3 linked regions of the Saccharomyces cerevisiae S288C genome follow. The gene in region 1 interacts genetically with each later gene. Each region holds a gene or a part of one and is shown in the gene's direction. Other genes may lie near its edges.

The links.
Region 2: mutations in YND1 (region 1) and YPQ2 together harm fitness more than expected from each alone (negative genetic interaction), as found in Saccharomyces cerevisiae (2 studies listed by BioGRID).
Region 3: mutations in YND1 (region 1) and YNR071C together harm fitness more than expected from each alone (negative genetic interaction), as found in Saccharomyces cerevisiae (2 studies listed by BioGRID).

What each region holds. Positions count from the first base shown.
Region 1 is NC_001137.3:156,460-165,857, forward strand, and holds YND1 (apyrase), read left to right. Parts: upstream 1-4,090; coding exon 4,091-5,983; downstream 5,984-9,398. Other genes in the region: NOP16 (Nop16p), read left to right, coding at 344-1,039; mannose-6-phosphate isomerase PMI40, read right to left, coding at 1,277-2,535, 2,629-2,659; FMP52 (Fmp52p), read left to right, coding at 3,121-3,816; RNA-binding GTPase NUG1, read left to right, coding at 6,264-7,826; PAC2 (Pac2p), read left to right, coding at 8,068-9,398. UniProt on the Saccharomyces cerevisiae protein: Catalyzes the hydrolysis of phosphoanhydride bonds of nucleoside tri- and di-phosphates. Has equal high activity toward ADP/ATP, GDP/GTP, and UDP/UTP and approximately 50% less toward CDP/CTP and thiamine pyrophosphate. Has no activity toward GMP.
Region 2 is NC_001136.10:1,179,487-1,185,790, forward strand, and holds YPQ2 (Ypq2p), read left to right. Parts: upstream 1-2,314; coding exon 2,315-3,268; downstream 3,269-6,304. Other genes in the region: SBE2 (Sbe2p), read left to right, coding at 1-1,774; thioredoxin-disulfide reductase TRR1, read left to right, coding at 3,813-4,772; TRP4 (anthranilate phosphoribosyltransferase), read left to right, coding at 5,261-6,304. UniProt on the Saccharomyces cerevisiae protein: Amino acid transporter that moves arginine across the vacuolar membrane. Active during nitrogen starvation when it exports stored vacuolar arginine to the cytosol, for use as a nitrogen source.
Region 3 is NC_001146.8:767,404-774,170, reverse strand, and holds YNR071C (aldose 1-epimerase superfamily protein), read left to right. Parts: upstream 1-2,702; coding exon 2,703-3,731; downstream 3,732-6,767. Other genes in the region: hexose transporter HXT17, read right to left, coding at 1-1,514; ATP-binding cassette multidrug transporter PDR18, read right to left, coding at 4,795-6,767.

The sequences.
Region 1 (9,398 bases):
GATTGAAAAAGCAACAGTTACCGCTACAAAGGGTACTATTTACTCAAATCTATAAAAGAAACCAAGCCATATATTTGAGATAAGCGGCTTGATTAGCTCTACTTTATATTCAATAGCGTGCTGGGTAAAATTCTATTTGTTATTTTATTGGTTTAAACGTTACCCGAACAGAACACTTTTATGTAAATTTTTTTTTATCGACACTTTTTTTCAGAATGGAATAAAAAGAAAAATAGGCGATGAGATAAATTTATAACAGTCGTCAATTCTCAAAAAAGCAGAGTTCAAGATATTGAGTTTAATATCAAACTGCAAATACACTAAGTAAAAAAAGTTGCATACAATGACATCCGTTAGAAAAAGAAAGATGAACAGATCTTCTGTTGGGAAAGCAACCAGGAGAAACAAAGACAAACAAAGAAAGATTAACATCCAGTCTAATCCGATTATTGCAGCAAATTGGGACTATTCACTGACAATGGCACAAAACTATAAGAAATTAGGGCTAAGGGCTAAATTACAAACACCAGCAGGAGGCAAAGAGGCCGATTTAAGTAAAGTAGTTAAAAGAATTCCATTAACGAAGCCTGTGTTGGATGAAGATGAAGATGAAGATGAAGGTGAGGACGAGCAAAATGATTATAATGCGGCTACCGTGGAGCTCGATGAAAATGAGATACCAGAAGGTGGGGCAAGGATACAGCGTGATAAGAATGGTGATGTTGTAAGAGTTGTTTACGGTAAGAAAAAGAACTTTGATGCTGATGAGGATGTTAACGAAATAAAAGCTAGGGATACTACCGAGGAGACCGAAGTGGTTAAGAAATTAGAAGAACTTGCGTCTAGACCAGTTATCAGAAAGGAACGTAGCCAAAGTGAAAGGGAAGAAGAATGGTTGGAAAAATTATATAAGAAACACGGTGATGATTATAAAAAAATGTTTTTCGATAAGAAGCTGAACATCTACCAGCAATCTGAGGGTGACTTGAAAAGAAGGTTATTAAGGTGGAAAAAAAGAAACGGTATTGCATCAAAATAAACCAATGGCAACTACCAATTGATTACCACGTAATATTTATATATGTATCTATATATGTTTTTATGCATCAATATCAAGTGTTTTAGAGAACAGCAAATTATGTTTGATATTTCCATTCCACTATATTATAGAACGTGAGAAGCAAATAGAAAACTGTGAAATAAAGTAGACTTCAAATAAATAAGTATAATATTTTCTCTATTATAGATATAAGAAAATTAAGAAATAGAAAGAAAGCTAATTTGGTTCCACAAAGGCTCTATAGGTAGTAAACGCCTCATCTTCAGCTTCCAAATCAACAGGCAAATGTGGAGCGATGAAAAAGACAAAACCGGGTTCAGCTTTCAATTTTTGGCCATCTGCTTTAATGTAACCATTACCTTTTGTAGTGATTAAGATACTTGGACCATCAACACCTTCAAAATGCCTTTGACCAAGTTTCTCATCAAAAGTAGTCTCCAATACAGCAAATTCTTCGATTGGAGGGTTATATAAAACTGACTTACCGTTACCAGAGGACCTGTCGAACTTTAAAGGCTGCATTTTTTGCTTTTCCACAGGATCATATGTATAGGTTAACATGGAGACCAAGTTTTTAACATCCTTGAATTTTGGAGTGAAGCCTGCTCTAACTACGTTGTCAGAAGCAGCCATACATTCCATAATATCACCGCTTATATAGGCGTGAGGATCCTTAGCTCTTAAAAAGATGGCTTCACCAGCATTCAATCTGCAGTGATTCAACAATAAACATCCACAAAACAAACCCACGTCATCAGGGAACTGTTTATTCAGTCTTTGAATTAATTCTGGTAAATCAGGTTTGTTAAAGTCTGATGGAGAATTCTTTGATCTTTCGACCAAGGAGCGAGCTTGAATCTTGATTTTGTCATCCGAAGCGTTCATGACCCTGCTGAAAACAGCTTGCAATAGCTTTTTGTTTTGCTCATCTTCTGGGGAACCTTTCTGAGCAGAAGGTTGAATGTTCTCAATAAAATTCCTGGAAGTTTCTTCACCAACAATGTTGCGTAATTCAGGAATACGTTTCAATTCATCTGCAATCTCTTGCAAAGGTTTGAACCCGCAGAAACCTTCAAAGTCAGTCACAGCGATGGCCATTTCAGGTTTGTGATTATCATCAGGATAGTTCTTAGGATCTTGAGCGTGCAATATTTTACCCAAGGCTTTGTCGGGATGTGCTTGAATAGACAAGACTTTTTCAATGGACAAAACTTTGAAAAGGAAGGGCAATTCATTTGTGGCGTGGAACTTATCAATAATGTCCTTACCTAACATGGCAGAGGGGTTCTTGGAGATGATATCTCTCAGGGATTCCTTAGACTCATGGTTGTAGGAAGGCATCTTGCTGTGGGTACCCATCCATAACTCTGCATATGGTTTATCTTGTTCAATTTGAACAGAGGGGTCAGAATGGGCAGCAAATTGAGCGACAGCTGAAGAAGAGCCGATTTTACCCCAGTCGTATTGTTGGTAGCCTACATAGAGTCGTACGCGTTAGTTAGTGTACCAAAAAAAAAAAAAAAAAATACTCAAAGTATTCAAAATATTTGACGAAAAATGGCACATACCTGCATCTAACCTGAACAGCTTGTTGGACATGTTTTAAAATTTTCTGGTCTGATGTTCTTTACGTGTTTAGTGTTGAATGATTACAAGAAACAAACATTTTATACAGAAATATACTAAGATTGCGACGTGTATATTTAAATACGTAAATCGCGGCGAAAAAGGACACGGACGCGACAAAAAATTGCTACAATAACCAAGCAGCACGAAATGGATAGTGCACCACGAGACTTGGCATGATCAAAGTGCAAAAGAAAGCAGAATAACAAATTACTCCCGCAAAGTACTAGCTATATCAGGGAACGACTTTATTGGCATCTTGTTGTAGCAAGGTTTTCATGATTCTCATCCTTGCGCTTGTCGCGCGGCACGATGCCAGTGCGGAGTTTCCGCGATATGATGTAACTGCAGCTGTTGGTGGCGAACTTTGCATAAGATCGACCTCCTACTGATGAGAAAGATAGGATGGATTATATAGAAGAGCACAAGCAACGATGAATGGGTTGGTATTAGGCGCTACAGGTTTATGCGGAGGCGGGTTTCTGAGGCACGCACAGGAGGCACCCCAGTTCTCTAAGGTATACGCGATCTTGAGAAGGGAATTGCCCTTTCCGGCCACTGATAAAGTTGTGGCCATAGTAGAAAGGGATAATTCAAAGTGGTCACAATTGATCACCAATGAAATGAATCCGCAGGTGCTATTCACCGCACTGGCAACGACAAGGGCAGCTGCAGGCGGTTTGGACAAGCAATACAAGATCGATCATGATTTAAACTTACAATTGGCCCAGGCTGCCAAGGAAAAAGGATGTGAAACGATCGTTCTCGTTTCTTCCGCTGGTGCTCATCCGGACTCCAGGTTCGGCTACATGAAGATGAAGGGCGAGATTGAACGCGATGTTATCGCTCTTGATTTTAAGCACATTATAATTTTGCGCCCAGGCCCTCTCCTTGGTGAACGGACAAATTCTAAACAAAGCGGATTTGGCGGCAATCTGACTGCTGCTTTGGGCACTCGCGTGTACCGTTCTAGATTCCAGAGGTTGCTAGGCTATCCAGTTTATGGCGATGAGGTAGGAAAAGTTGGTGTTCATTTGGCGTTGAATACTTCTGGGAAAGACAAGGTTCAGTTTGTCTCCAGCAAGGACATTCTTGACATCTCAGCTTCTCTGGAGAAGATTGCTACCTAAATCAACCAACGGCTTCTTCTCGCAGCTACAGTTGTATTTTACTGTGACGTACTTTTGCGCGCGTACGGGTTCAATGAATTACGGATTTTCAACAACTTCACACAATCATAGCTTTTTTTACTTTTTCGCCTCATTATTTTCTTTAAAGAAACGATGATAAACAGAGATTTATCGTCATGTTATTTCGTTCGTATATATCGTATTTGCGTTTTAGCTGTATAAAGTAAAATACTATATCTAACGTGGCTTTTTTTATTTCCCCGTCTGCCCTCTTATGCTCATAGAAAACACTAATGATCGGTTTGGTATCGTCATAGATGCAGGGTCTTCGGGTTCGAGAATCCATGTGTTTAAGTGGCAGGACACGGAATCGCTTCTTCATGCAACAAACCAGGACTCACAGTCCATATTACAATCAGTACCTCATATTCATCAAGAAAAAGACTGGACTTTTAAGCTGAATCCAGGCTTGTCGAGTTTTGAAAAAAAACCTCAAGATGCGTACAAATCTCACATCAAGCCGTTACTAGATTTTGCTAAGAATATTATCCCTGAATCACATTGGTCGAGTTGTCCCGTTTTTATTCAAGCAACCGCGGGCATGCGCCTTTTACCTCAAGACATACAATCTTCCATTTTGGATGGTTTGTGTCAGGGGCTCAAACACCCTGCAGAATTTTTGGTTGAGGATTGCTCAGCACAAATTCAAGTCATTGATGGTGAAACCGAAGGTTTATATGGCTGGCTTGGCTTAAACTATCTATATGGACACTTTAATGACTATAATCCAGAGGTCTCTGACCATTTTACATTTGGGTTTATGGACATGGGCGGTGCCTCTACTCAGATTGCGTTTGCACCGCATGATTCAGGAGAAATAGCTAGACATAGAGATGACATCGCCACCATCTTCTTGAGGAGTGTTAACGGAGATTTGCAGAAATGGGACGTTTTTGTTAGTACGTGGTTAGGGTTTGGTGCCAATCAGGCTAGAAGAAGGTACTTGGCTCAGTTGATCAATACCCTTCCAGAAAACACAAATGATTACGAAAATGATGACTTCTCTACAAGGAACTTGAATGATCCATGTATGCCGCGAGGAAGCAGCACGGATTTTGAATTTAAAGATACCATATTTCACATCGCGGGTTCTGGGAATTACGAACAATGTACAAAATCTATTTATCCGTTACTTTTAAAGAACATGCCTTGTGATGACGAGCCGTGCTTGTTTAATGGTGTTCATGCTCCTCGAATAGACTTTGCCAATGACAAATTTATAGGTACTTCTGAGTACTGGTACACTGCCAACGACGTATTCAAACTTGGGGGCGAATACAACTTTGACAAATTTAGCAAAAGCCTAAGGGAGTTTTGCAATTCCAATTGGACGCAAATATTAGCGAACAGTGATAAAGGCGTGTATAATTCTATTCCGGAGAATTTTTTGAAAGATGCATGCTTTAAGGGCAATTGGGTCCTTAATATACTTCATGAAGGGTTTGATATGCCTCGAATAGATGTCGACGCAGAAAATGTCAATGACAGGCCCTTATTTCAAAGTGTGGAAAAAGTCGAAGAACGAGAGTTATCGTGGACACTAGGCAGAATTTTACTTTATGCCTCAGGTAGCATATTGGCAGGTAATGATGACTTCATGGTGGGTATTGCGCCCAGTGAAAGAAGAACTAAGCTCACTGGTAAGAAATTCATACCTGGCAAGTTACTGGAGTCTGATCAACTACGCAAGCAAAGTTCCAGCCTTTCTAATAAAGGATTTTTGATGTGGTTCGCAATTATTTGTTGCATATTTTACTTGATCTTTCATAGGTCACACATAATCAGAAGACGTTTTTCCGGTCTGTACAACATTACCAAGGACTTTAAGACAGGCATAAGGAGAAGGTTGAAATTTCTAAGGAGATCAGATCCATTTTCCAGATTGGAGGAAGGTGAACTTGGAACAGACGTAGATGGCTTCAAAGATGTGTACAGGATGAAGAGTAGCAGTATGTTTGATCTTGGTAAGAGTTCAGCCACAATGCAAAGGGAGCACGAACCACAAAGGACAGCAAGTCAGTCCGCTAATCTCGCTCCGTCAAACTTACGACCTGCGTTTTCTATGGCTGATTTTTCCAAATTTAAGGACAGTAGGCTATATGATTGAATGTGGTGGTGTATGTGCCATAAATAGAAGCGCATATACTTCTCACATAAATATATGTATATATCTAGTGAGGTGCCATAGTATTGCATTAACAGTGATTCACGTCACTCTAAACGTCGCTTCTGTTTTTTTTTTGAAATTTTTTTCTCACAGCTGCTGAAAATTTTCGAGCGAGGCGATGAGATGAGCTAATTATATCAAGAGGGAATTGTACTAGTAATACTTTGGTACACACAAGAACAAGCATATAGGTATACAGTCACGACTATAATATCATAAAATGAGAGTCAGAAAGCGCCAATCTAGAAGAACATCTACCAAGTTGAAGGAAGGTATTAAGAAGAAGGCTTCTGCCCATAGAAAAAAGGAAAAGAAGATGGCTAAGAAGGACGTTACTTGGAGATCAAGGTCTAAGAAAGACCCTGGTATTCCTTCTAACTTTCCTTATAAGGCTAAGATCTTAGAAGAAATAGAAGCCAAAAAAATGAAGGACTTAGAGGAAAGAGAGCTTGCCAAACAACAACGATTGGAGGCTAGGAAAGCTGCCAAGGAACAAGGCGTTGATGCAATGGATGAAGACATGATAGAAGACGATGAAAATGGATTAGCAGCTTTGGTTGAGTCTGCTCAGCAAGCAGCTGCTGAATATGAGGGCACACCCTCTAATGATGCAGATGTTCGTGATGATGAATTGGACGTCATTGATTATAACATTGATTTCTACGGTGAAGATGTAGAAGGCGAGTCAGAACTTGAAAAATCTAGGAAAGCTTATGACAAGATTTTCAAATCCGTTATTGATGCTTCTGATGTCATCCTATATGTTTTGGATGCCAGAGATCCAGAGAGTACAAGATCAAGAAAGGTGGAAGAAGCCGTCTTACAAAGTCAGGGTAAAAGGCTGATTTTAATACTGAACAAAGTTGATTTAATTCCCCCACATGTATTGGAACAATGGTTAAATTACTTAAAGTCTAGTTTTCCTACAATCCCATTAAGAGCTTCTTCTGGTGCAGTCAACGGAACTTCTTTCAACAGAAAGCTAAGCCAAACCACTACTGCAAGTGCACTGCTAGAGTCGCTGAAAACTTACTCTAATAACAGCAATTTGAAGAGATCTATTGTAGTGGGTGTTATCGGTTATCCAAATGTTGGTAAATCATCTGTTATCAACGCTCTTTTGGCGCGCCGTGGAGGTCAATCAAAGGCTTGCCCAGTCGGTAATGAAGCAGGTGTTACTACCTCTCTGAGAGAGATCAAAATCGACAACAAGTTGAAGATTCTAGATTCTCCTGGTATATGTTTCCCAAGCGAAAATAAGAAAAGATCGAAAGTTGAACATGAAGCTGAATTAGCTCTTCTAAATGCTCTACCGGCAAAACACATTGTTGATCCGTATCCAGCTGTCTTAATGTTGGTAAAGAGACTAGCTAAATCAGATGAAATGACAGAGAGCTTTAAAAAGCTGTATGAAATTCCTCCTATTCCTGCTAATGATGCAGATACGTTTACAAAACATTTCTTAATTCACGTCGCTCGTAAAAGAGGTAGATTAGGGAAAGGCGGTATTCCAAATCTTGCCAGTGCTGGTCTTTCGGTACTTAATGACTGGAGGGATGGTAAAATTCTTGGTTGGGTTTTACCAAATACATCGGCAGCTGCATCTCAACAAGATAAACAAAATCTAAGTACTATAAACACTGGCACTAAACAAGCTCCAATTGCAGCAAATGAATCCACCATTGTATCCGAGTGGTCCAAAGAATTTGATTTGGATGGATTATTTAGCTCTCTTGACAAGGCCATAGATGCTAGCAAAGATCAAGATACAATGATGGAATAAATAAGTCATATGTAAGGCTATTTTTATGTAAGGGGTGTTTCTTATTTTTTCTTTATCATCAAATAACATTACTGTAAATTATAGGTGTGCTTTTAAACTCATTACTATACATCTTATTTTTTTTAGTTTTACTGCCTTTTTGCTCTTTGGACAAAGAAATCATTAAAAAGTTCCAACTTTTATTATGTTTCATATATAAGATATACAAAATATAAAATGCAAAACGAATTTCAGAGATAGCATGACTTATGAAATTGGGGACAGACTCAAGATTGGTGGATATTTTTGCACCATCAAATTCATAGGTGTTATTAAGCCGTGGCCTTCGGTAAAAGCTTATGGGGTGGAATGGGACGATCACAGCCGGGGAAAACATTCTGGAACAATAGATGACATACACTATTTTGACGTTCAAATTCCTAATTCAGGATCATTTTTGAAGGAGTCTAAGATTAAATCTCCAGGTGTACGCAGAATTACGTTTTACGAAGCATTGTCAGAAAAGTATGGAGGCTCGAGTAATAACATTAATGACCTATCTATAGGTAACAAAAGGGTTGAGGGTTTGGGATTCGATGAACTAAATGCGAGAAATAAGAATTATAAGAAGTTAAGAAAAATAGCTTTGCGAGATTCCGATGTCGCTATATTGTTTCAAAATCAAGATGAGTTAAACCGTGTAATACAAAATTGTGTGAACGTCAAGGACCTTGATTTATCGCTTAATCTATTCACGAATATCAACTCTTTATGTGAGTTCATAGAACCTTTGAAGAACTTGGAGAGCCTTAATATATCTCAAAATAAACTTTTAAGCGGTTGGGACAACTTGAAAGAATATGACCTATCACACATCAAAACTTTACGTCTGTCTTCCTGTGGTTTAAGTTATAAACATATTGGTAAGCTGCTCAAAAGCTTCAGGACACTGAAAATGTTGGATTTAAGCTATAACAACTTGACCAGTGCGGGAATCCAAAATTTTGAGAATGAAATACCGTGTACTTTGGAGGAACTGAATATTAGCGGAAATAATCTTATATCGTTTCCATTGTTTCCAAAAAATTTGACATTGAAAGGTTTAAATGTCTCCAATAATCAAATTTCTAGAGCACCAAGTATTGCTATTTATTCTGTTGAATCCTTGGATATAACAGATAACAAATTTAAGGAAAGAAGTTTGATAGATGATTTGAATAAGACATTTCCCTCTTTGAAAAATATCCATCTGAGTGGCAACGAATTCAACTACAACGGAAATTATATTAACGTCGAAGAACAGGCTACTTTTTATGAAGTACTGGCTAGGTTTGATCGTGTGATGGTATTGAATGGATCAATATGTGATGTAAAAACAAGAAGAGAGGCTGAGATGTTTTTTGTTTCCAAGGTAATGAATAACGAATTGAGCTATGACACCAATCTGCCGCGTTGGTCAAGCCTCATAAAGTCGTATGAAATCGATATGAGTAAGCTAAGTTTCAACAATGAAAGAGAAACACGGCAATCTCTTGTCTTAAAAATAAAGATAAGAGCTGGCAAGAAGCCGAGTAGTGATTTAGATTATTGGGT
Region 2 (6,304 bases), on another chromosome or scaffold:
GCCGTATGTGCATTCCAATAGTACTTCTGTAATATTACCATATAAAACAACCCAACTTACTCCTTCTCAACGTTACCGTTTAAGGAAAGAGCAAAATGACCAATCTTTGCGTAAAGCCATAAAAATGAAAGAAAAATTTTATGAAGATCAAGACGTTAACTTGGAACTTCAAGAGGGCGATGTCGACGGCTCGTTAATTTGGAACATTCCAATGGCATCTTTATCGACCAGTTCTTTTTTAACATTATCTAAGTTTAATAGAAAAGAAATGAGTTTAGATTCAGCGCGGGGGGATGAAGAGATATTAATACAGGAGAACAATTGCGAAGGCAAACAACACTCATCTTCGGCTCTCTGTGTGGACAAAACTTTCCATCAGGTTCATAGTACTAGAAAACATACATCAAATTCAAGTAACACTTTAAAAGAATCATGTCTGGACTATAAGGAGCTTCCGCCAACATGCATTCCTGGTATATCTCCTGTGTCTGATTCACAGTACATCCAGGATACAATGAAAAATCTCTCCCAAATATACCTGCATAGTTCCGAAAAAATCTCCAAAAGTATTCTTTCTGGTCGTTCAAGATCTGTACAGAGTTTACCACTGGAATTTAAAGAAGCCAGTAGTCAGGGAATGGAAGACCTAATGCTAGTTTCAGAGGACAAACTAAAGGCCGTAAGTCATTTCCGTCCGAGTTGGCTCCCGCCCAAGGATTTCAAAGAGAGGAAATTGCAAGATAAACAAATCTACAAAAATATCGACTTAGCATCAATGGAAGAGTTGCAAAAAAATAAAGAACGTGACGAAAAAGCCAAAAAGAATGAGCAGAATAAGGTCAAATTCCAGCATTTACTGGACCGAGGCATTACTCGTAACTCGTCATTAAGTGAATTAAAGAAAATTATTTGGGAAACACCTTTGATATCTAAAGTACGGCTTCAAATATATAGTCAACTTCTACAAAGTGACAATTGCTTGATAACAAAATGTTTTATTGAATCATTTGAGGAAGTAATGCAGCTACTCAACAAAATGGATTTTCCCAAAGATAAAGAATTTGAAATAAGACAGCTTATTGAACACGATGTACAGGAAAAGGTTTTTTATAAAAATGGAACAGATAAGCAAGTGGTTTCTGACTTGATGCTATTACTGCAACTGAAATCTATATCTCAACAAGGTTTGGTTACTGGTGATGAGATGCTATTCTACCATTTTTTAACTGATCAATCTTTTGGGACTTTGAAGGAAACATGGGAAATGGTCAACTTGATACAGATGACGTGCTTCAGTGAAATTTGCAAGGAAAAATACGATTCAAGAATATTAAATCCCAGAGGAATTGTTGCCCATCTTTTACGAAAAGATGAGTTCAAAAATGAATTCAATGGCGGATGTTTGAATAGCAATACATGGTGGAACATATTGCAAAGAATGGACCATAAACTTTTTATGTGGGTAATGGATGTAATTATCGTTCATAATGGCCAAAACTTTGCAAACTACCCCGTAAAAATGGAAATATTCAAAGACAAAGTATGGGAATACTATAGATCTAAGAAGGTTATTGTAAATTATAAGATTTTGGTTTCACTAACAGTTAACGTATTGTTAAACTACCACTTCGGATATGATAATCTGAAACATTTATCAGATTTGGATGATAAGCATTTTTGTATTCCACTGTATACGGAGGATAGTATCGAAGAGGAAAACCTCAATAATATTTTCACAAAGTGGTGGTTGCACTACTACCGAAAATTACGTTAGCGTGTATGTGGCACGTACTAAAAGTTTGGTGACCAGACTATCTCTTCTTAAGTTCATTTTCACTCTGAAACTTATAAATGCATACATACAGAAATTACTTTCGATTAATATAATAATATATTTTTAATAAACAATGAACTAATGCCCTTATTGTGTTTTGTTATTAACCTTTTCATCACCATTTTTTTTTGCTAGCTTCTACGGCATTCACTTACGTGCTGCAAAATTTCGCAGCATGGAAGAAATTGTTCGCGAAGAAAAAAGATTTCGCTCAGTGATTTGTAGTGACAATAGGTACCAGTGTTATCACTAAGTATATCTTTTAGTATATCTCTTCGCTTGAGGAGGGATCAAAAAAAAACAAACGTAAACGTGCACATAAACGTCAAGTACTTTTTGCAGGCATTAATATTCGTCTCCAACAAAGACAAATAAAGAAGCAATCTTTTCATTACCTTAAGCCAGTATCTATTGATATCAATCGATAAGGTTCGTTGTTATCGGTGCTAAAAATTATAAAGTGAAAATAAGAATCTTTTCATGTCGTGCTCAAACGGCATCTGGCCTACTGTATCTAATTTGTGCGGATCATTATCCTTCTTCACCTCTGTTATTTCATTGTTTCCACAAATAATTGAGACTTATCGAGATAAATCTGTCGATGGGCTATCGCCATATTTTTTGCTGGCTTGGTTATGTGGGGATATTACCTCGCTGATAGGGGCAAAGCTAACAGGGCAATTGTTATTTCAGATACTTTTAGCAATTTATTTTCTATTGAATGATTCTTTTGTATGTGGTCAATATTATTACTATGGCGTGCTGCATGAAAATAAATTGGCGACTGTCGGCCATGAGCCTAAACCTCTTCTTCCCGAACTGGTTGAAAATGGTGAGCTTTTGAGGGAGGAAGAGGACATGATACAAGGTGGTAGCAGTGCAGAAAGCCCTAGAAGCAGTAGAAGAAGGTCTGCCATTACAGCAGCCTTGGCTATAGCTCATACTATAAGTACAGCTAGCGCATATCCGCTAAATGTAGGCTCCACCCAATCACAAGTGGGGCCTCCCGGAGATGGTAAAAACAGCCAGCTGGGTACAATTTTATCTTGGATTGGCGCTTCCTTCTACGTAGGCGCACGTATCCCACAACTAATCAAGAATTACAATAGAAAGTCTACAGACGGCTTATCTCCCTTCCTATTTGCTACTACACTACTCTGCAATATCACGTATAATTTGAGCATCTTCACAAGCTGTAGATTTTTAGATAATCAGAACAAGAGGGAATTCATCGTGAATGAGTTGCCCTTTATATTTGGAAGTGCTGGAACAATTGCGTTTGATTTGATATACTTCTACCAATACTATATCCTTTATGCAACTGATATGCAACTACGTGAACTGGAAAGAGAACTATACAGTCCTGAAGAAGACAGTGCAGCGCAACTAGTGACAGAACGTACATCACTGTTGTCTGGTGAAACGCAAACATAGTTTTCCCTACGGAGTACTACCATTTATATTTAAACAATGCACTCTGCTCTTGGGATAGTCCTTGCGAGACCCTTTTTTCCCAATAGGAATACTACGTTCGTACTCTGTGTAAAAGTACCCAACTATAGTTAGCGCCAGTTTTACGTAAAACCGTCTATGTCTTGTTTGCATTCGCAACAGCTACAAACACATATAGTTTGTCACACTAATATTAATAATGAAAGTTATTATGTATTCACTGTGAACGCTTCAGTATACAGTACGGCAGTAAGTGTTTCATTCTGTTCTGGATTAATAATCTTTCACTTTGCCTAGCCATTTGGGGGCGGGTTTTGGCTGGGTTAGCTTCTCCTTAGTCATGGAGAAAAAAAATCGCCCGCAAGTATCTCGAAAAAGGAAAAAATGCCCACGCGTATAAGAGTGGACCCAACTGCTCGAGGTTTCAAGAGCTTGTAGATTAATTTCTGTAGTTCAGTTATACTTGCCTACAAGTGCTATACAGCAAATAGCGAACAGTACGAAAGTAAACATCATATTATCAATAATGGTTCACAACAAAGTTACTATCATTGGTTCAGGTCCAGCTGCACACACCGCCGCCATCTATTTGGCCAGGGCAGAAATCAAGCCAATCCTATATGAAGGTATGATGGCGAACGGTATTGCTGCCGGTGGCCAGCTAACCACCACTACAGAAATCGAAAACTTCCCAGGTTTCCCAGATGGTCTAACAGGTAGCGAACTGATGGACAGAATGAGAGAACAATCCACGAAGTTTGGCACTGAAATTATCACGGAAACAGTTTCCAAAGTTGATCTGTCTTCCAAACCATTCAAGCTATGGACCGAATTTAACGAAGACGCAGAACCTGTGACGACTGACGCTATAATCTTGGCCACAGGCGCTTCTGCTAAGAGAATGCATTTGCCGGGCGAGGAAACCTACTGGCAAAAAGGTATTTCTGCCTGTGCCGTGTGTGATGGTGCCGTCCCCATTTTCAGAAACAAGCCATTGGCCGTCATTGGTGGTGGTGACTCTGCATGTGAAGAAGCTCAGTTCTTGACCAAGTACGGCTCAAAAGTGTTTATGCTTGTCAGAAAAGACCATTTGCGTGCTTCTACCATTATGCAAAAGCGTGCTGAGAAGAACGAAAAAATTGAAATCCTTTACAACACTGTTGCGCTAGAAGCTAAGGGGGATGGTAAATTATTGAATGCCTTGAGGATTAAGAACACTAAAAAGAATGAAGAAACCGATTTGCCAGTCAGCGGTTTATTTTATGCAATTGGCCACACTCCAGCAACAAAGATTGTCGCTGGCCAAGTCGACACTGATGAAGCGGGCTACATTAAAACTGTCCCAGGCAGCTCATTAACCTCCGTTCCAGGATTTTTCGCTGCTGGTGATGTTCAGGATTCTAAATACAGACAAGCTATTACTTCTGCTGGCTCTGGTTGTATGGCCGCTTTGGATGCTGAGAAATACTTAACTTCCCTAGAATAGATGAATTTTCCATTATAAAATAGATACACTCAAATTTTTGTATACTTATCCAACAAATCGTTACTTTCTCCTTTTCTTTAATAAAAAGCAAACCATGAATTTTATTTCTTTTCCCCATTATTAGAGAAAGCCAATACATAATCTACATATATTGCGTGTCTGAATTAAACTTTTTAGACACATGACATAGGCCATCGGCTTACTTTGTAACGCGTGGTTGCCTATACACCGACTATTAAGTTATGACTAATATTATTGCTGCGCTTCCCCACCTGCATTTTTCTTGTCGTCTTTGCCAAAAGGAAAAAAAAACCTACGCAGATTGACTCTCTAAAAAATGATTCATGACCAGACAATTCAGTAAACATAAACTCTGTTGCATTCATTCTTCTGGAAAACTTTATAATAAAGCATCTGATATTACAGCTACTGACAACTAAGTGAATTTAAACTGCAATAATCACAAGAAAACTTAGTATTCCCTTATCATGTCCGAGGCGACTTTGCTATCTTACACCAAGAAATTATTGGCTTCTCCGCCGCAATTGAGTAGCACAGACCTACACGATGCGTTGCTGGTTATATTAAGTCTTTTGCAAAAATGTGATACAAATAGCGATGAGAGTCTTTCCATCTATACCAAAGTTTCGAGTTTTCTCACGGCCTTGAGAGTTACTAAACTTGATCACAAGGCTGAATACATTGCGGAAGCTGCAAAGGCTGTGCTCAGACATTCCGACCTTGTTGATCTACCTTTACCCAAGAAGGACGAATTACACCCGGAAGATGGACCAGTAATCTTAGATATTGTAGGTACTGGTGGTGACGGACAGAATACTTTTAATGTTTCCACGTCTGCTGCTATCGTTGCCTCCGGAATTCAGGGCCTAAAAATTTGTAAGCACGGTGGTAAAGCTTCTACATCCAATAGTGGAGCTGGTGACCTAATTGGAACTTTAGGCTGTGACATGTTCAAGGTTAATTCATCGACAGTGCCCAAACTTTGGCCTGATAATACGTTCATGTTTCTACTTGCTCCTTTTTTTCATCATGGAATGGGCCACGTTTCTAAGATACGCAAATTTCTTGGAATTCCGACTGTTTTCAACGTACTGGGACCACTTCTACATCCAGTTAGCCACGTAAACAAGAGAATATTGGGCGTTTACTCAAAGGAACTTGCGCCTGAATATGCCAAGGCAGCCGCTTTGGTATATCCAGGAAGCGAAACTTTTATAGTTTGGGGACATGTTGGGTTAGACGAAGTATCACCTATAGGCAAAACTACTGTCTGGCATATTGATCCGACATCGTCCGAACTTAAATTGAAGACCTTCCAATTAGAACCTTCTATGTTTGGTTTAGAAGAACACGAGTTGTCGAAGTGTGCTTCATACGGCCCTAAAGAGAATGCGAGAATTCTAAAAGAAGAAGTCTTGTCCGGCAAGTACCACCTTGGCGACAATAATCCTATTTATGACTACATCTTGATGAACACCGCCGTGTTATATTGTTTAAGCCAAGGTCACCAG
Region 3 (6,767 bases), on another chromosome or scaffold:
AAGAAGAAAACGTACAGAAACATTGCAACCAAACAACCTACGAACACATAACCATAATAGAAGTGGATAGACCCAGTAATGAATGGTGTGAAAAACCCGATCAAAAATTGCCACAACCAGTTGCATGCAGTCGAAATCGACATGGCCCTAGATTTGACCTTCGAAGGGAACGACTCGGCAACCACAATATAAGCAACAGGAGCCCATGTCGTTGCAAAGCAAAATATATAGAAGCAAGTGAACACAATCATGGCATTACCTGCACCTTTTGAGGATGGACCATCCTGGCCATGAGGGTAAAGACATTTCACCCCGATACTTGCAAATATGACCATACAAGCCATCATCCCAGCTGCACCAAATAAAAGACATTTACGACGGCCAATTTTGTCTACGACCATAACAGCAATAATAGTGGAAAAGAAGTTCACTGTACCTAGAACGATCGACGTCTCAAACCCATCAGTAAGACCGACTGATTTGAAAATGGTAGTTCCGTAGAAGAAAAAGTAGTTTTCACCAGTAAGTTGCAAAAAGGTTTGCACAAGAATACCTGTGATCAAACGTTGAAGGACTTTAGTTTTGACGGAGAAAAGTTCTTTCCATGAAGCTTCTCCTAGTTCTCTTTGGGCAAGGACACCGGCGTTGATTTCATCAGCCTGTTTGAGTACCCATGGATCCTCTGGTGAAACCTTGTTGATTTTGGCAATGGAAGCACGGGCCTCTTCGTGTCTCTCACATTCAATAAGATATCTTGGGGACTCTGGAACCAATAACATACCAATGATGATAATCAAAGTCCATAAAAAGCAAAGCCCAAGTGGGACTCTCCATTGTGCAGTGTTATCGTATTTTCTCGTACCATAAACGCTACAATAACCCAAGAAAATACCGAAGGTCATGTTAAGTTGGTACAATGAGACAAGTCCACCTCTCAAATCTGTAGGAGCTATTTCAGACAAAAGCATTGGACACAACACCGAACAGCCACCAGCACCAAGACCATAGATAATCTTACCAACGAAGTATTGGTACCATTTGTGATTCGAACTGATCTGAATAATTGCACCAACCATATATACCAACACCACGATTACAATTGCCAGCCTTCTACCTAAAGTATCAGCAAGACGGGCAAAAATAAGACCACCTATGGCACATCCAATACTGAACATAGCCACAAGAAGACCCATACGCACGTTGCTCAAATAATATTCACCAGTGCTATGCTTGTAAGAACCGAAGTTCATTTTAAAGTTGTCCATGTTAATGAAACCTGCTGTGATACCACTATCCCAACCAGGCAGGAAACCCCCGAAGGATATTGGATAACACAATAAGTAAATGACAAGATAACCTATGAGCCCTCTTTTTGGTGGCTCAACGTTATCCCCGTTTATGACTTCGTTGTCATCAAATCCATCTGACCACTCTTTTTCCACGGGTGGTGCGACGTGAATATCAGCATCAGGACCATCCTGAATATCTCTATCACTTTCAGTGGATGATTGCATTTTATTAATTTTTCTTTTCTTTTCTTTTTTTTTTTTTTTTTTTTGATTTATCAAATGAGAAAGAATTTACACAACACTTGCACAACGAAAGAAAAATATCACACCTAAACTTATCGCTTTATATATCTCGTTCACCATATTATCCTGTGATTAAGGAGGGTGTTATGGCAGCAATGCTATCCTACCACTTGAACGATAAAATTCTGTGCCAAGGAGGTTTCACCGTTCGTATACACTTATCTCAATTGATACTGCTTGCCGCCTTCTTTTGAATAGATTCCGTGCTATTTTGCCTGTTTTTAGACGAGGATACTAATATTATATTATCTAATATTATCCTCGAACGTTTACGTCATCATTTGGGATACTATTCCACATTCTAGGTTGCTAACGGTCTTTGCACAGTCAAGTCATCCCACGCATTTGTGCCTATGTGCCTATATGTGCATTATTCTTAATACCCCGCCACTCTATGCACAAAAATGCATACCCCACCTCCACCTTCCTATTTTGTGCATTGACTATTTACTCCGAAACGAACCCTTGAAGTTAAAATAATTAAACTTTTTGGCTGCAAACCAGTGACGTCAGATATATTTTATAATAACCCCAGGGAGGCAAAAGCTTCTTTCTCGGCAAGGAATGAAGATGTGAAAAATTCGTCAAATAATAGCCGGGCTGGTTACAGCAAGGGGCGGACTTAAGAAATAAGAACGGAGATATAGAAAAAAACTCTAACGAAACATAATCACGCAATCCCATTGGAATAGTTTAGGATTCTTGAAAAAGAAAAGCCCCCCACAGTACGTCGTATTTCATTTACATCTGCAATACCCCCACTATAATTACTTCTGACAACATTTAGAATAAAGGTGTTGAAATTTTTTCTTTTCTTGTTTATTACGTTGCCACTGAATAGCCTACGAACCACAAGGAAGTGAACAGGAGCCTTTGGCAGCTTAGCTCATTGAGTGGTATGATGAAATAAACTTCCTACCCCGTGTTATTAAGATCAGTTAAAATATTGTGGGGGTGTCGTAATATGTAATAGACATGTGATACATTTTTATGTACACTCTATACTTTCAGCATATAAATACAGAGATAAGTTGAAGTTTGATAGCTCAATTGATCAGTTTGTATGATAAGCAGTGAAAAAAAAAATCAAAACAGATAACAAACAGCGAAATGTCAAATAGTAACGGTGATAATAAGTATGGTGTCATTACAATTGGTGATGAGAAAAAGTTCCAAGCTACCATTGCGCCACTTGGTGCAACTTTGGTAGACCTGAAGGTAAACGGCCAATCAGTCGTTCAAGGTTATTCAAACGTACAAGACTATTTAACAGATGGTAACATGATGGGCGCTACAGTTGGTCGTTATGCCAACCGTATCGCCAAGGGTGTTTTCAGCCTGGATGATGGTCCTCACAAGTTAACTGTTAACAATTGTGGTAACACAAATCACAGCAGTATCAGTTCCTTAAATCTTAAGCAGTACAAGGCGTCCCCTGTTGAGAATCCTTCCAAGGGCGTTTACGTTGTTGAATTTAAATTGTTGGATGATCACACACAGCCCAACCCTAACGAGTTTCCAGGTGACTTGGAAGTCACAGTGAAGTACACTTTGAATGTTGCAGAAATGACTTTAGACATGGAATACCAAGCACAGTTAGTTCGTGGTGATGCTACTCCAATTAATATGACCAACCACTCGTATTTTAACTTGAACAAAGTCAAGAGTGAGAAGTCCATTCGTGGTACAGAAGTTAAGGTCTGCTCGAACAAATCGCTTGAAGTTACAGAGGGGGCATTGCTTCCAACTGGTAAGATCATTGAAAGGAACATTGCTACTTTTGATTCAACTAAGCCCACCGTTTTGCATGAAGATACTCCGGTCTTTGATTGCACTTTCATTATTGACGCTAACAAGGATTTGAAGACTACAGATTCTGTGAGTGTCAACAAATTGGTTCCTGTTTTTAAGGCCTATCATCCCGAATCTCACATCAAATTTGAGGTTTCGACGACAGAACCAACCGTTCATTTGTACACCGGTGATAATTTATGTGGCAAATTTGTGCCAAGGTCTGGATTTGCCGTTCAGCAAGGTAGATACGTTGATGCTATCAACCGTGATGAGTGGAGAGGTTGTGTTCTTCTGAAGCGCGGCGAGGTATACACTTCAAAGACTCAGTACAAATTCGATATTTAGGTGAGGCTGAAGCTTTTTACGTTTGTTACGTTTCTTCACTTGCTTGTAGATAAAACCTTTATAATGATATATGATCTAGATTAAACTCAACGTTTGTACGTTTAAACCTAAAAGTTTTTGGACCTGTCCCAAAATAAATATTATCACAAGTGGTAGTACTAAATTGAGCGTAACAGGCGGACTCTGTAGGCTTTTTGTGAGTTTGGGGTCTGAATATTTTTTACTCTTAAAAAAGAATACAGAACTTACTAAAAAAAATCCGTACTAAAAAGGTAGAAACAAGAAATGGTTTATTTGAAAAAAATACTTTACGTCCCAGCCTCACTAAAATTGAGCAGGAAACCGTATATCAAAACTATCTACCAAGAGAGTTCTGGTAAAAACATTTATATGAATAAAGATTAAATTATGCCTATTTTTTTCCTAGCAGTACATTCACTATGTTTCTATATTTAACGCTTTGTCGTTATCCCGGATAAAATTCTTCAGGTTATTTGCAGACGTTTGTCACATTATTTTTTCATTGACAAAATTTCACGAACTCTAGTAATGTTCAAATTCAAATGTCATGCAAGGCCCCTATGAACATTATTACGCTGTTTAACCAGCGGATAATAATTAGATCGCGTTCGTCGTAAATATAAAACATACGCTCTGTAAGTAGGTCCCTCTGAACGTTGGCAATTTGACAGTGAACTAATGAGTCGTATTCATAAAGAAACATCAACTGTGTACCAAAATACTTATTTGGGATTATGTGTTTATAGCCTTGATTACCAATGTTTGCATAAATAGAAGTTACCCTATTTCTTTGAATAATATAACATTACATTTCTGCAATATTCACATCATCATATAACCCAAAATTCACAGTATCGTGTGCTAAATCGGTTAAAAAACCGCCTCACCTGCACCCATAGTATACCTGCAATTTTTTTCTTCATTTTCTCTTAAATTTACTTGTTATTCTTTTTACGAAGCCAATTTTCATAGGGGAAAAATGCTTAACTTGAACAACGTAATAAACCACAATCATACCGGCAATGTTGAAAAGGATATAAGCCTAAATGAAACCGAAGTTTCTCCATAAGTAACTAAAGCTAGCATTTATGCGCGCCAAGTATTCATCACCTACTTTGTACTGACAATAGGCGCAATCTGCTGTTGCATCTGGATTTGCAATATACCCAGTCCCAAATTCAAAAAACGGTTTGGTAAATTCACCACATGTTTGGCCTACCGGGGGGTTGAAAAGAGACAACTCTTTCTTTGAACATCTTACGGGTTTGTCATGCATCAATAATCCAACTAAATTTTGCAAAAAATACGTGTAAGGGGATAGTTTCCACATGAATGTCCAGAAACCAGGCATTAAAGAGGCAGGTTGGACAGCACCGCAGAAAGAGAGCAAAAACGAAAGTATAAAACCTACAATAACATTGGCAGATTGTAGATTTGGAGACATGTACAGAATCATTAAAGCAAGACCAATATAGTAAAGTTGAAAAAGTATGGCATAGTTCAGATAAAAAACACTTGACCTAGAGGCTTCGGTAAAGACACCCAGAGGGAAATATGATGAAACGAAAAAAATTGTTGAAAACAATAAATGGTAAGGCAATTCATTTAAATAATGGGTAATCAAAAGTAAAGACCAATGAAACATATTAGATTTGGACTCACGAACTTCATATAGCTCCTTAGCAACGGTAGCACGCTCCTGTATTTGGTTTGTTGCAGGAGCTGATATAACGATAGCCATGAAACAGGCAAATAAGCTATTTTGTAATCCAATAGCATTTACACCCACATGGAAAAAGGTAAAACCAATGAACAAGCCACTGATCATCAATAACATCATTTTGGCCATGATGTAGTTCAAGTTTCTCCAAAATGTTAAACTGGATCTTTTCAGCACATGATGGAATTGGTAGGAATACGATGTTGCATACTTAGAGGCCCTTGTAGCTGTTTTATGCAAAGTTGTAGAAGATAAGTCCTTAATCATGTCATTTATTTTTTCGTTAATGTTTGCATACTCGTGAGATTTTTGCCATATATCAGGCCAGTTCTGTTGAACAGAAGCGGTGGCCCCAGCTCCTATGGCTTCTAAAATATACTCTGCCGGATTTTCATTTTGTTGACATTTCCTGGCTCCGTTCTTTTCGAAATACTTAATGACAGAACTTGAATTTTTACCTATTTCACCAAAATAAATTGTTTGACCGCCTTTTCCCAAAAGCAATAATCTGTCAAACTGTTCAAAAAGAGTAGCTGATGGTTGATGAATAGTACATAAAATTGATTGACCTGCTAGAGCTAATCTTTTTAACATTTTGACGACGGCCCACGCGGATTGGGAATCCAAGCCAGAGGTCGGTTCGTCCAAAAACAATAACAGATCCGGCTTGCCAACTAGCTCAACGCCAATTGATAGTTTCTTTCTCTGTTCAACATTCAAGCCGTAACCAATTTCGCCGACAAGAGCTTCTGAGAACTCCTGCATTTCAAGAATAGATATAATTTTTTCAACATATTCCATCTTTTCAGCGTCAGGAATAGACTGTGGCCGACGCATACGAGCACTAAATTGTAGCGATTCTTTGACAGTAAGTTCAGCAACATGAAGATCTTGCTGTTGAACATAACCGGTACGCCTTTTGAAACTAGCGTCCATTGGGAGACCATCAACTAACATATCACCAGTAATCGTTCCCACGTTCCTTTGAGCCAAAGTGTTTAATAATGTGGTCTTACCAGCGCCGGACTCACCTATTAATGCTGTCAAAGTACCAGGAACACAGTAACCGCTTACGCTGTCCAGAAGTTTACGTTGTCCGCTAGAATGAGGAATTGTGAAAGAAACATTTTTCCAAATAAACACCCCGGTAGATTCCAAACCTTCAAAGTCTGCACTTGTGCTATCGTCGTTACTTGAAGCTATCTCTTTCATATCCTGTGTTGCTATAGAGGCATTAAGGTTCTCTTCGTCATTTTTGCTGCTCCATGATCTTTGTATAGCATTCTTTGTGCCCT